3 linked regions of the Xenopus tropicalis genome follow. The protein of the gene in region 3 purifies or fractionates together with the protein of the main gene of each other region. This does not show direct contact. Links are inferred from orthologs where the notes say so. Each region holds a gene or a part of one and is shown on either strand. Other genes may lie near its edges. The genes, in order: sf3b6, u2af2 and sf3b3.

Region 1 (3,754 bases), on a different chromosome or scaffold from region 3:
ACAAGACAGACAACTTCTGGAACAGTTCAGAAACACCAGAGCAACACACGGAGCAGACACTGCATTTTTGGAAACTTCCTTAGAATTAGATTTCCTTTTATAGGGCAAAATGACAATTATAGGCTTTGGAAAACATTACATCATTATATTATTCGGCAGAAAACCATGGTCCAGGGAACAAGCAATCACTATATACGTAATAACATATATAGGAAGCCATATTTGCATTGGACACTCAGCACTGTAGGATAGGAACCAATCAGCAGCTAGGCTGACCCGACAGGGAATTGAAGCCTGTCTTTGCTTGTGTGACTGCAAGGCTGTGATTGGCTATCCCCCATTTACTGTGCTTCTGGCAGGGACCTTTAGGACATGCCCACCCCTCATTTGAAACACAGACAGGGACCTGAGAGGATCTATAGGGAGCTCCAATAAAGGTGCCAATTTTTACAGATAGGATTATTTTTTAACAAAGTGAAACCAGCACCAGATATTATTCATAATTGCCCCCAAGATTAGAGTTTTTTTCATCTATCCAATATGTCTTCTTTAAGAATGAGTCTACAATGCTAAACAACTGTTCAGTTGAAAAACAAACCTTTTCCATCCGGTTATGTTTGTCACTGTAATATTCGCAGAAAAAGGATTACTTACACCCTGATCTGTCGAATGGGTCCATATTTGCCAAATATATCGTACATTTCCTCCCCAGTAATTTTATAGGGCAAGTTTCGAATGTATAAAATTCTGTTTACTTCTGGTGGTAAGCGTATCTGTAAAACAGAAGGGAAGGAGTTGTATTAATATCAGTTAGTGTGACATTTACACACACAGGATAAAGCACTAATGATATAAAAACATGCACAAATAAATCACAGAGCAAAGCAGCATCAGACAAGTCACGGAATAAAAAAGTATCTCTTAAGAAGTTATTGCCCACAAACAGCATAAATCAGAAACTATCACTAAGACAATACAGTTCTCAGTGGGTGCACACAGGCAACGAGACAGTGGCCCTCAGGCTGGGCCCCCTTAGCCCATAACAAGGTTACAGATATATAGAAACATTGGGGTAACAGTCACCCCGCTATAGTTCCAGGGGTACCCAGGGCACAAATAAGCACTCACCCCAAATCCCCCCCTAACTGGCCTTCAGGCTGGGCCCCCTTAGCCCATAACAAGGTTACAGATATATAGAAACATTGGGGTAACAGTCACCCTGCTATAGTTCCAGGGGTACCCAGGGCACAAATAAGCACTCACCCCAAATCCCCCCCTAACTGGCCTTCAGGCTGGGCCCCCTTAGCCCATAACAAGGTTACAGATATATAGAAACATTGGGGTAACAGTCACCCTGCTATAGTTCCAGGGGTACCCAGGGCACAAATAAGCACTCACCCCAAATCCCCCCCTAACTGGCCTTCAGGCTGGGCCCCCTTAGCCCATAACAAGGTTACAGATATATAGAAACATTGGGGTAATAGTCACCCTGCTATAGTTCCAGGGGTACCCAGGGCACAAATAAGCACTCACCCCAAATCCCCCCCTAACTGGCCTTCAGGCTGGGCCCCCTTAGCCCATAACAAGGTTACAGATATATAGAAACATTGGGGTAATAGTCACCCTGCTATAGTTCCAGGGGTACCCAGGGCACAAATAAGCACTCACCCCAAATCCCCCCCTAACTGGCCTTCAGGCTGGGCCCCCTTAGCCCATAACAAGGTTACAGATATATAGAAACATTGGGGTAACAGTCACCCTGCTATAGTTCCAGGGGTACCCAGGGCACAAATAAGCACTCACCCCAAATCCCCCCCTAACTGGCCTTCAGGCTGGGCCCCCTTAGCCCATAACAAGGTTACAGATATATAGAAACATTGGGGTAACAGTCACCCTGCTATAGTTCCAGGGGTACCCAGGGCACAAATAAGCACTCACCCCAAATCCCCCCCTAACTGGCCTTCAGGCTGGGCCCCCTTAGCCCATAACAAGGTTACAGATATATAGAAACATTGGGGTAATAGTCACCCTGCTATAGTTCCAGGGGTACCCAGGGCACAAATAAGCACTCACCCCAAATCCCCCCCTAACTGGCCTTCAGGCTGGGCCCCCTTAGCCCATAACAAGGTTACAGATATATAGAAACATTGGGGTAACAGTCACCCCGCTATAGTTCCAGGGGTACCCAGGGCACAAATAAGCACTCACCCCAAATCTCCCCCTAACTGGCCTTCAGGCTGGGCCCCCTTAGCCCATAACAAGGTTACAGATATATAGAAACATTGGGGTAACACACATAGTAAAGTCACGGCTGAAGGGAAAGCTGCGGTAGAACTAACCCCACAGAGCCAATCGCAGCACAGCCCGCAGTACACAGAACAAGCGCTGCGGTATCCGGGGTAGAAGCAGCAGTACCCCATAGCCCTTATGAGCAGAGCATGATAGCCGTATCGGGGCGCCCCACAAACCCCCAAAGCCTGACACTCACATTGGCGCGTTTGGCCGCTTGCATAGCCATGGTGCCGCTGAATAAGAAACCTTTCCCAGACGCGATAAAAACAATCCGCTTTCCAACACCACACGCACAAACCGGAACAGGAAGTCTGAGTGTGACGTAATGGCAACTTCTCTTACTGAGATAGGCTGATTCGTCCTCCTGAAGTCACGTGTCCTTTGGTAGTTACAGCGCTGGCGCACTGTAGCACTGTAGAGCGCCCTCTGGGGGCAGCAAGTGGACGCACACACAGCTCCCCATGCACAGTTTCAGCTTCCAATTTACACCCCTGACATCACCCAATCCCGATTGATATATAAACGAGGCTTGATCAGATAATGATTGGAGCAGGGGATATTCTATTAAGCTGGAGACCTGATCATAAGTGGCCAAGTAACCGGCCAGTATCTGCCCATGTGGGCCCTTATAGTCTGGCATAAATGATGGGGTTTCTCTTTGAGGCAGAGGAACACCTCTCTCATTTAGCAGAAACTTGTCTCCATGCCCAGACTGGGATTCAAATAGGTCTGGAATTTAAAGTCCACAGAGGCCCAAACAGCCCCCCCAGCCCAATAAATAGTGACTATGGCATCTTATAGCAGCCCCTCTGGCATTTGCCTGAACCCACAGATGTGTCACTATGTTACTTTAATAATGTGTGTAGTGCCCTTCTTTCTCCCCAACACTCCCTGTAGTTCAGGGATCCTCAATAACCCAGAACTTTTGGAAATGACCCTTTTTCTCCATACCTGGTATCCAAATGCAAATCTGCACAGCAGGGCCAAGGGACACCATTTTTGGCTCCTTCACTTCCCTGGCAGTGATTGCTGGGCAGGAGCTTGCACTTTAGAAGCCAGTCTGTTCCTTGTTTCCAATGTGTATGCTCTTACTAAATGCCTAAGCAAGTAGTAGCCTAAACCAGGCTCACCCAATCTTTGTTTTCATTTTATAACTGGTAGTAGACAGAATTAACTAATTCCTGATTATGGGCAACTGCACTGATGTTATTAAATAAGCCTTACAATCTGCCTGCTTGGTGCACTTTTTCTGCTATAACCTGCTGTATAAAGTATGTGCAATACTTTACTTATGGCAAAGCTGTAATGCAGCCTTGTGAAGTCCATAAGGTGGCGCCGTTGTCTCCACAACACTGAATCTTGAATCCAGCAAGGTAAGTTTGAGTATGTTGTTGTGTTCTAATCACAGAGACATCTATTTTGAATGCTAAAAGACCTATGGAATGAACCCCCAGATAATTCC
Region 2 (3,654 bases), on a different chromosome or scaffold from region 3:
GGTAAAAAGAGGAGAGAAATATAAGTGGTCTGATATCCCTGTTAATAGCAACAAAGAGCATGTTTAAGATCTAGAATGTCCTACTTGCCTTGCACGATGGTAGCAAACTTATTTTGCTACGAAGGGATTTCAGCCCCACAATTTTCACTTTAAAAAGAAATGGAAACAACTCTTTGATCTTGTTTTTCAAATAGAAAAGGTTTCTTTTAAATCAAAGTTGTTTATTGTTGTAATTCAACAAAAGCAGCCATTTCTGCAAAAACCATGCTAACTGCTGGAAAATTTGGAAAAAAGTTTGAGACAAACTCCATTAGAGTGCAGGGCCATAGTACCAGTTCCGAATAAAAAAAAAAAAAAAAAGCAAAAATGCGATACCCATTTTATAGATTAGAAATGTAGGGTTTAGCAATGTGTCACATGATCAAATGTGAAACAAATCATTTAAACACCATGGAGAAGGGACACCAAGTTTTGAAAAAACCCACCTGTAAGTTTTTCTCCATAACACCGAAAGACCAGTTATAAAGCCATTATAGCGTGCTTAAAGCAGCTGCCAAATACCTTACCTGTGTCAACTAGATTAAGAATACTATTTAACAGAACTCAATGTAACTGCTTTGTAACGGTCCATTTTTATTTAAAATGTATTAATGTTACAATTGCCTCAGACACTGGGTCTCAAACATGTTTCTCAGTAAGTCCCCAACTGCTAAGGACAAATATTGTATTACTGCCTGAGAAGAGATAAATAAGGTTTGCCCACTGACTAAGCAAATGATACACAAGGATATGCATTTAACTGGCCACATCATTTACACACTTTACACCAAATAATGCTTATTTGTATGTGGGCTTTCTGGCAAACAATTGAAATACATTAAGCAATAAGGACTTCATTCAGGATTTTGCAGGATTAGGGATGTGGTGGCTGGAGGATTTTTACCATTGATATCCCTTAAAGATCAGAAACCAAAAGACCAAATGTAGGAAGGGTTTTAAACGGTTTACAGTAAAAATTAAACTGGGGAAATAGATAGGCTGTGCAAAATAAAACTTTTCAATATAGTCAAAAATAAAGTCTACATAATTGCCAGAACACTAACTTCCTCCTTTGCAGTTCTCTTATCTGTTACAAGTTTGTAATCAGTAACTTGGGGGAATATGGGATATAACTGTTCCTTTAGATTGCTAAGGATCAAAAGCAAAGTAACTGAACAGTTGTCTTATGTGCCCCTCCAAGTCACTAAGAGGTTAGAGAGCTGCCAAGGAGGAAGTAGTTTTCGGATATGTTCAACATCCTCCCAACTCCAGCCTTTATTGATTACATTTTTGGCTATCAGAAACATTTTTTATTTTGCACTACCTATCTATACCTAGTACTCCAATGACATAACGCCTGTTTAACAATGGCCCTAAATAAAGAGTGACTTAACCAAACTCATACAGCTTAAATGAAAATAAGGGTGGTAGTATAAAGAGAAAGCAATGGATTGCTTATGTAATAATTCAAAGGTAGCTATCAATGCTGGTACCAGGATGGACAAAAAAAAAAAAAAAAAAAAAAGGGTATCTGAGATGGCACAGTTCTCTTGCAGAAACAACCTACGGCAATGTATATTTACCCATGATAGGGCACTGAGTAAAAGCCCAACTACAACTATTCAGAACAACGAATATTCAAACAAATCATATTTAAAAAATTTACAGACTGTATATTTGAAATCCTCGCCTGTCAGGGACTTACTGAGCACTTGTCTGAGAGCCCAAAATTCAGGTCCCTGCTTAAGAGCTGTATGCAGGAAAATTGTTAGTGCCACCAATACGGATAGCTTGAGACCAATAACAAAAGAAACTGAGATAAGAGAATGTTTCAAGCTATGAAATACTTATTAACCTAAGGGGCAAAGAATACCTTCATTAAGTGGTAAATAAAATGTTGAAGAAATGCTGAAAAATGTTTTGGTGCTGCCATTTCTCAACCTCAATACTTTACTATAGCTAGGAAATAGAATGGCTATAGCAAATACCTCAGTGATTCCAAATGGAATATTTCCAACATAGAGTCGACGGGCCTGTCTTGTCATCTGACTACCCACAACAGGCACAGGAGTAGGAGTAACTGCCAAGCCATCTGGTGTCATTGTTGGAAGGAGAGCAGTAGCTGGAATCTGACCCGCAGCTGAGGAAAAGATAAAAAAGTTACGCGAAATATAAATGGTCTGCAAGTGTACAAATTAATAGTGACATGTGACAGTCAATTGTACAGTTAATTTAAAACCAGAAAAAATATATCTAAACAAGACAGACAATACCATACTCAAGCTTACAAATATGTGAAGGTTTAGTACTCACTGTAAATTCATATTTTCTGCTTTTGAACGTATAGGTAATGTGGTGTAAAACTTTTGGCTGGGAAACTCAAGTTAGAAAATTATAAAGGGGAAGCAAAACAGCTGATATTGTCCTCCTTTTACTCCCGTCGAATGATATGCTGTTTTACCCCACAAGGGAAGTCTATGTGAAGAACCCCTTGTGCAATAAAAATGAATCCAAGCTGGACAGCTTTTCTGTAAAGCAAAATATTGCACTTACCTTTTATATTCACCTCTTCTCTGTGCTCAGTGTAGTTTCACAATGTAACTTGTGAACCGGAGCCCAAAATTTCACTGCCTGTTTAAGAGTATGGCCTAATGCAAGGGGCGGACTTACAACTTTCTCCTTTGATGCTATTCCCTTTTTGTACTCTAGGGGTATCTCTTCATGGTCTAACATTCATTTTTCCAACACAATGGCACTTAGGCTACATCAATAATTGTGTAGAAGAAGCTGCCCCTGATAATCAGTTTCCTTTTAACTTCCAAACACAGACATAACACAAATGATAAAGCAGATACTGCGATAAGCACAAAAACTGTACATTCAATCAGAATTCACATTTCAAATATATTACATGCAAGATTATCCAGAAGGCTCCAAAATAAATGCACAGAATCCTTGTTAAGCAAAGAGCTTTTATTTTGCAGTAATAAAACATACCTTTCAAACAAAAAAATATTAGTTACTCATTTAAATAGCAACGCTGTATTATGACCCTTAAAGCTTTCAAAAGCTAAAGTAAAAAGATGAGTATTAACTAAATGTTAAAAACAAATTACCTTGCATGGCTTTATACTGCATAGGGGTGATATGCTCAAAACCAGGAGGTGGAACATCCCAGTATTTACGGATCTTCTTTTTCTTCTCATGTCTTGGTGAGCGACTGGACAAAAAAAAAAAAAAAAAGGGAAGATTTAAGTCATGCAAGGGTTAGCATATTTACACAATAGTTTAAGAGACATCTACAAGTTTTACCTGCGTCGCCTTCGATCCCTGGATCCACTTCGCTGCTCTCTACCTCGCCTGTCTCTGCTACGGCTGCGGCGCTTCCGGTCTCGGCTTCTAGAACGGCTGTGACTACGTTTTCGATGACGATTTTCCTTGTCCCTTTCTAAAGATACCAGAGGAATGTTGCAGAAAATTATTCCACAAATCACAAGCTTGACTGTGCAATACATTTGACCAGCACTTTCTCTCTAGTATATGGAGGTAATAAACTTGTAAAATTCAGCAGAAAAAAAAAATGGACCCCCCCCCCCCCCCCAAAAAAGGACAGGG
Region 3 (3,654 bases):
ACGCCAAATTCTTTTTTCCGGTGTATGTTTATTAATAAAACCATTAATAGCAAAATTTCTGAAGATGGCCAGCTACAATGCTTTTGCAGTTAAATATCCTGTTTCGTTAGAGCCAAGATTAGAACTAAAGTATATGCATGTTTACAAAAAGGGTATAATATGTGAAGAACAAACCTTTAGGCCATACTTTAAAGAGTTTCATAGGTGAAAAGAACTAAATGAAATAACTAAACTGAATAACTGAAATTGCAATAGGAAGAACATCTGGATTGAGCATGGGCTGTGCACCTCTGAAACATTAGAATCTGTTGGAATAATGTAATTTATATGTTTTTGGCAGTTTAATGTGTCTGTGCATCAGTCATCCTGCATGTACAACAGGACGTTTTAAGACAAATTAGAAATTTTAATGTGTTCCTATTTTTGGATTGACACTAATACTTATTTTAATTTTTTCTTACAGCTTTGTGTTTGATATCCTTCTGTGTGAATCTCACCTCCTTATTTCATCATGTTTCTTTACAATATTACCCTGCAGAGGGCAACAGGCATCAGCTTTGCCATTCATGGCAACTTTTCAGGTGAGTTTGGGATGAGCAAAAAGTATTGGAGTAGCCTGAATAAACCCTGTTACCGTTTAATAGCATGAAATATGTATATGTGTATGTATGTATATATATATATATATATATATATATATATATATATATATATATATTATAATGTGTGTGAGCTGGCAGTTTGCTTGATGTTTTAAAATGATTATGAAAGTAACAGAACTGAGGGAACTGCCTATATAAAAAAAAAATTTCTCATGGTTTCCTATCTGTTAATATATTTACATTTTATTTTGCCAGTTTATGTATTAATTTTAAAAGGTAATAAAAGCTGAAATCATGCTGTTGATTAAAAGTTAACTTTTTTTTTTTCCTTTTTTTAATCTGTCATATTTGCCAAACAGGAACTAAATTGCAGGAAATTGTGGTTTCACGTGGGAAAATTATAGAGTTGCTTCGACCTGATGCAAATACTGGCAAAGTGCATACGCTTCTGACTGTGGAGGTGTTTGGTGTTATACGCTCTCTTATGGCATTCCGTTTGACTGGTGGTACAAAGGATTATATTGTAGTAGGCAGTGACTCAGGGCGCATTATCATCCTGGAGTACCATCCTTCTAAGAACATGTTTGAAAAGATCCACCAAGAAACCTTTGGAAAGAGTGGGTGTCGGAGAATTGTGCCTGGTCAGTTTATTGCTGTGGATCCCAAAGGCAGAGCTGTAATGATAAGTATGTTTTAATTGTTTTTTTCTTTTTTGTATTAACATAATTGTAATTCAATTTTATATACAGAACAAAATGATGAGCTTTCATGTCTCTTCTCTGACATAGACAGTGGAGAAAATGAATAACTCTGACACTTGGCTATATGTTTGATACTATTAAACTATGTTTTGAATTTGATTGCATATTTCTGTGCAGTCTAACTGTTACACCTATTGTACCACACAAACAATATCTTGTGTCGATGCTATATAACAAATAAAGGAATGCTAATGCAAGCTGAATGTAGATTTTCTTGTTCTTTATAAAGCGTGAAGCATATTATTTCTTTATAGAAAACAAGCATTTGTTAATTACATGAAGCATGCTACCATTCTGCTGGTATGTGTACTTTAGTCTATTATAAAACAGGGTTGACAACTTTGCTATAAAATATGTTAGATTGTTCAGGACAGGAGGTAACATTCATATACAGTGTGTTTCTAAATTTGTTTACATTTATGCCAATGTAGTATTTGTGTAATTAAAGAAAATGTCATTCCAAGCAGTTTTTCAGTGTAAAATTAAAAATGTAACTTACTGTATATACTCGAGTATAAGCCTAGTTTTTCAGCACCTAAAATGTGCTGAAAAAGTCACCCTCGGCTTATACTCGAGTCGGGTGCCATGGGTCCCTCCAGACTAGCACCCTCTGTCCTCTGTGCAAATTAGGCCACCTGCAACCAGACCCTCCAGTGCCCTGGCCCTCTCCCAAATTCATCTTCATCTACCATCCTCACCTGTCCTATTCTGCACTAGACATTGCACTTTATATTCTATATAAACTATATAGTTTTGAAGGATTTTACCTCTTTGTGTTTTTAGCTTTGTTGCTGATTGAACTAAGAGGGTAGTACTCTTTAAGTTATCATTGTTGATACCATATTGTTTTTGTTGACCCTCTTCTTCACTCACAGAGCTAGTTTACTGTTTTTGTTTAAAATAAATATTTAAAAACATATACCCCATTGATGCCTCATTTAATGTAATTTTATTGGTATTTATTTTGATTATTGAAACTTAGCAGTAGCTGCTGCATTTCCCACCCTATACTCGAGTCAAAAAGTTTTTCAAGTTTTCTTAGGTAAAATTAGGTACCTCGGTGTGTTTGCTACAGTAACACTACTATAATTTATATAATAAGCTGCTGTGTAGCCATGGGGGCAAGCCATTCAAGCTGGAAAAAAGGCACAGGTTACATTGCAGATAACAGATAAGTTCTGTATTGTACAATAGTGTTTTATCTGTTATCTGCTATGTGCCTGTGCCTTTTCTCCTTTGAATGGCTTTCTGAAGTAACACACAACTTTTACCAGTGCAGGGCAGCAGCACATTACGTTTTAGTTACTTTTATACACTTTCATTTCTCTCACAATAGCTTGGGGGACACAGGGACAGTGGGTATAGCTCCACCTGCAGGAGGCAGGACACTAGGAAGGTAATAAAAAAAAAAGAATGCTCCTCCCTCTCCAGCTATACCCCACAGCGCAGCCAACTGAAGCTCAGTTTTTTCTCCTAGTGTTAGGAGGTAGGACCAGGCTTAGTCTGCCTGCATCTAGGTTCAGAAAGTCCAGGATTAGCCTGGACACCTGGGGGGGGCTGATCTAGACCTCAAGCAGTAGGTCCTATTCACATCCTCCCCCCACCGCTGGATTCCCCTTGGGGCCACTAAGTCGCTTCGGCGCGGGCCATCTGGCAACATTCCTACCCTCTCTGAGGGATAGACGGCTAGCCAAGGGAGCGCTCAGTCCTGATCCGGGCTGCACGGGTAAGTAAGCGCCTCCCTTTCTACCAGGACAGGAGCGGCGCTGGCGGGACTTCCAGGTTCCCCCCTCCCAACCGGCCAACCGGGTATACTAACCCGAAGCGCCGGGGGCCCTCACTTCCGCATTTAAAAATGGGCGCGCTCAGCCTTACGCGCTCATTGGCTAATACTTCCTGCTCGCGCCCTCCGTCATTGCCGCCAGCCCTCCTGTGCTTCCTTTCGCGCCTTCCGCTCTACATCGTGGCGCAGCTCCGGGGGAGAACCAGCATTGCCGGCTTGCGACTCTCTCTCTGACAGCGGGTATTGCTCGGCCTGTAGGTAGGCTTCCACCCTCTCTCTCCCCTCTTTAGTACAACCTGCAGCGCAGTCTTCCTGGGGCATTTTTAGGCAAATATGGCGGAGGGCAGCAAACAGCAGTTGTTCCCCCGGGGCCCAGCCTCTTTGGCTAATATAAAGTTCCTGGCCTGTGCCAAATGCAAGAAGCGTCTGCCCACTGGGCACAATGAGCCTGTTTGTGAGGCATGCAGGCCCTCTGTAACAGCCTTAGCAGCTTCTCAGCCAATGGCCT

What was found.
Region 1: the proteins of sf3b3 (region 3) and sf3b6 fractionate together in Homo sapiens (co-fractionation; 5 studies listed by BioGRID and IntAct, with this or other methods). This does not show direct contact. The link is inferred for Xenopus tropicalis from reciprocal best matches to the Homo sapiens genes SF3B3 and SF3B6.
Region 2: the proteins of sf3b3 (region 3) and u2af2 purify together in Homo sapiens (affinity purification with mass spectrometry; 4 studies listed by BioGRID and IntAct, with this or other methods). This does not show direct contact. The link is inferred for Xenopus tropicalis from reciprocal best matches to the Homo sapiens genes SF3B3 and U2AF2.

Annotation. Positions count from the first base shown.
Region 1 is NC_030681.2:145,722,211-145,725,964, forward strand, and holds the start of sf3b6 (splicing factor 3B subunit 6), read right to left. Parts: upstream 2,536-3,754; 5' UTR 2,519-2,535; coding exon 2,489-2,518; intron 774-2,488; coding exon 655-773; intron 1-654.
Region 2 is NC_030683.2:104,045,968-104,049,621, reverse strand, and holds part of u2af2 (splicing factor U2AF 65 kDa subunit), read right to left. Parts: intron 3,488-3,654; coding exon 3,352-3,487; intron 3,260-3,351; coding exon 3,156-3,259; intron 2,180-3,155; coding exon 2,028-2,179; intron 1-2,027. UniProt on the Homo sapiens protein: Plays a role in pre-mRNA splicing and 3'-end processing. By recruiting PRPF19 and the PRP19C/Prp19 complex/NTC/Nineteen complex to the RNA polymerase II C-terminal domain (CTD), and thereby pre-mRNA, may couple transcription to splicing.
Region 3 is NC_030680.2:75,031,283-75,034,936, forward strand, and holds part of sf3b3 (splicing factor 3B subunit 3), read left to right. Parts: intron 1-463; 5' UTR 464-511; coding exon 512-581; intron 582-961; coding exon 962-1,288; intron 1,289-3,654. UniProt on the Homo sapiens protein: Component of the 17S U2 SnRNP complex of the spliceosome, a large ribonucleoprotein complex that removes introns from transcribed pre-mRNAs.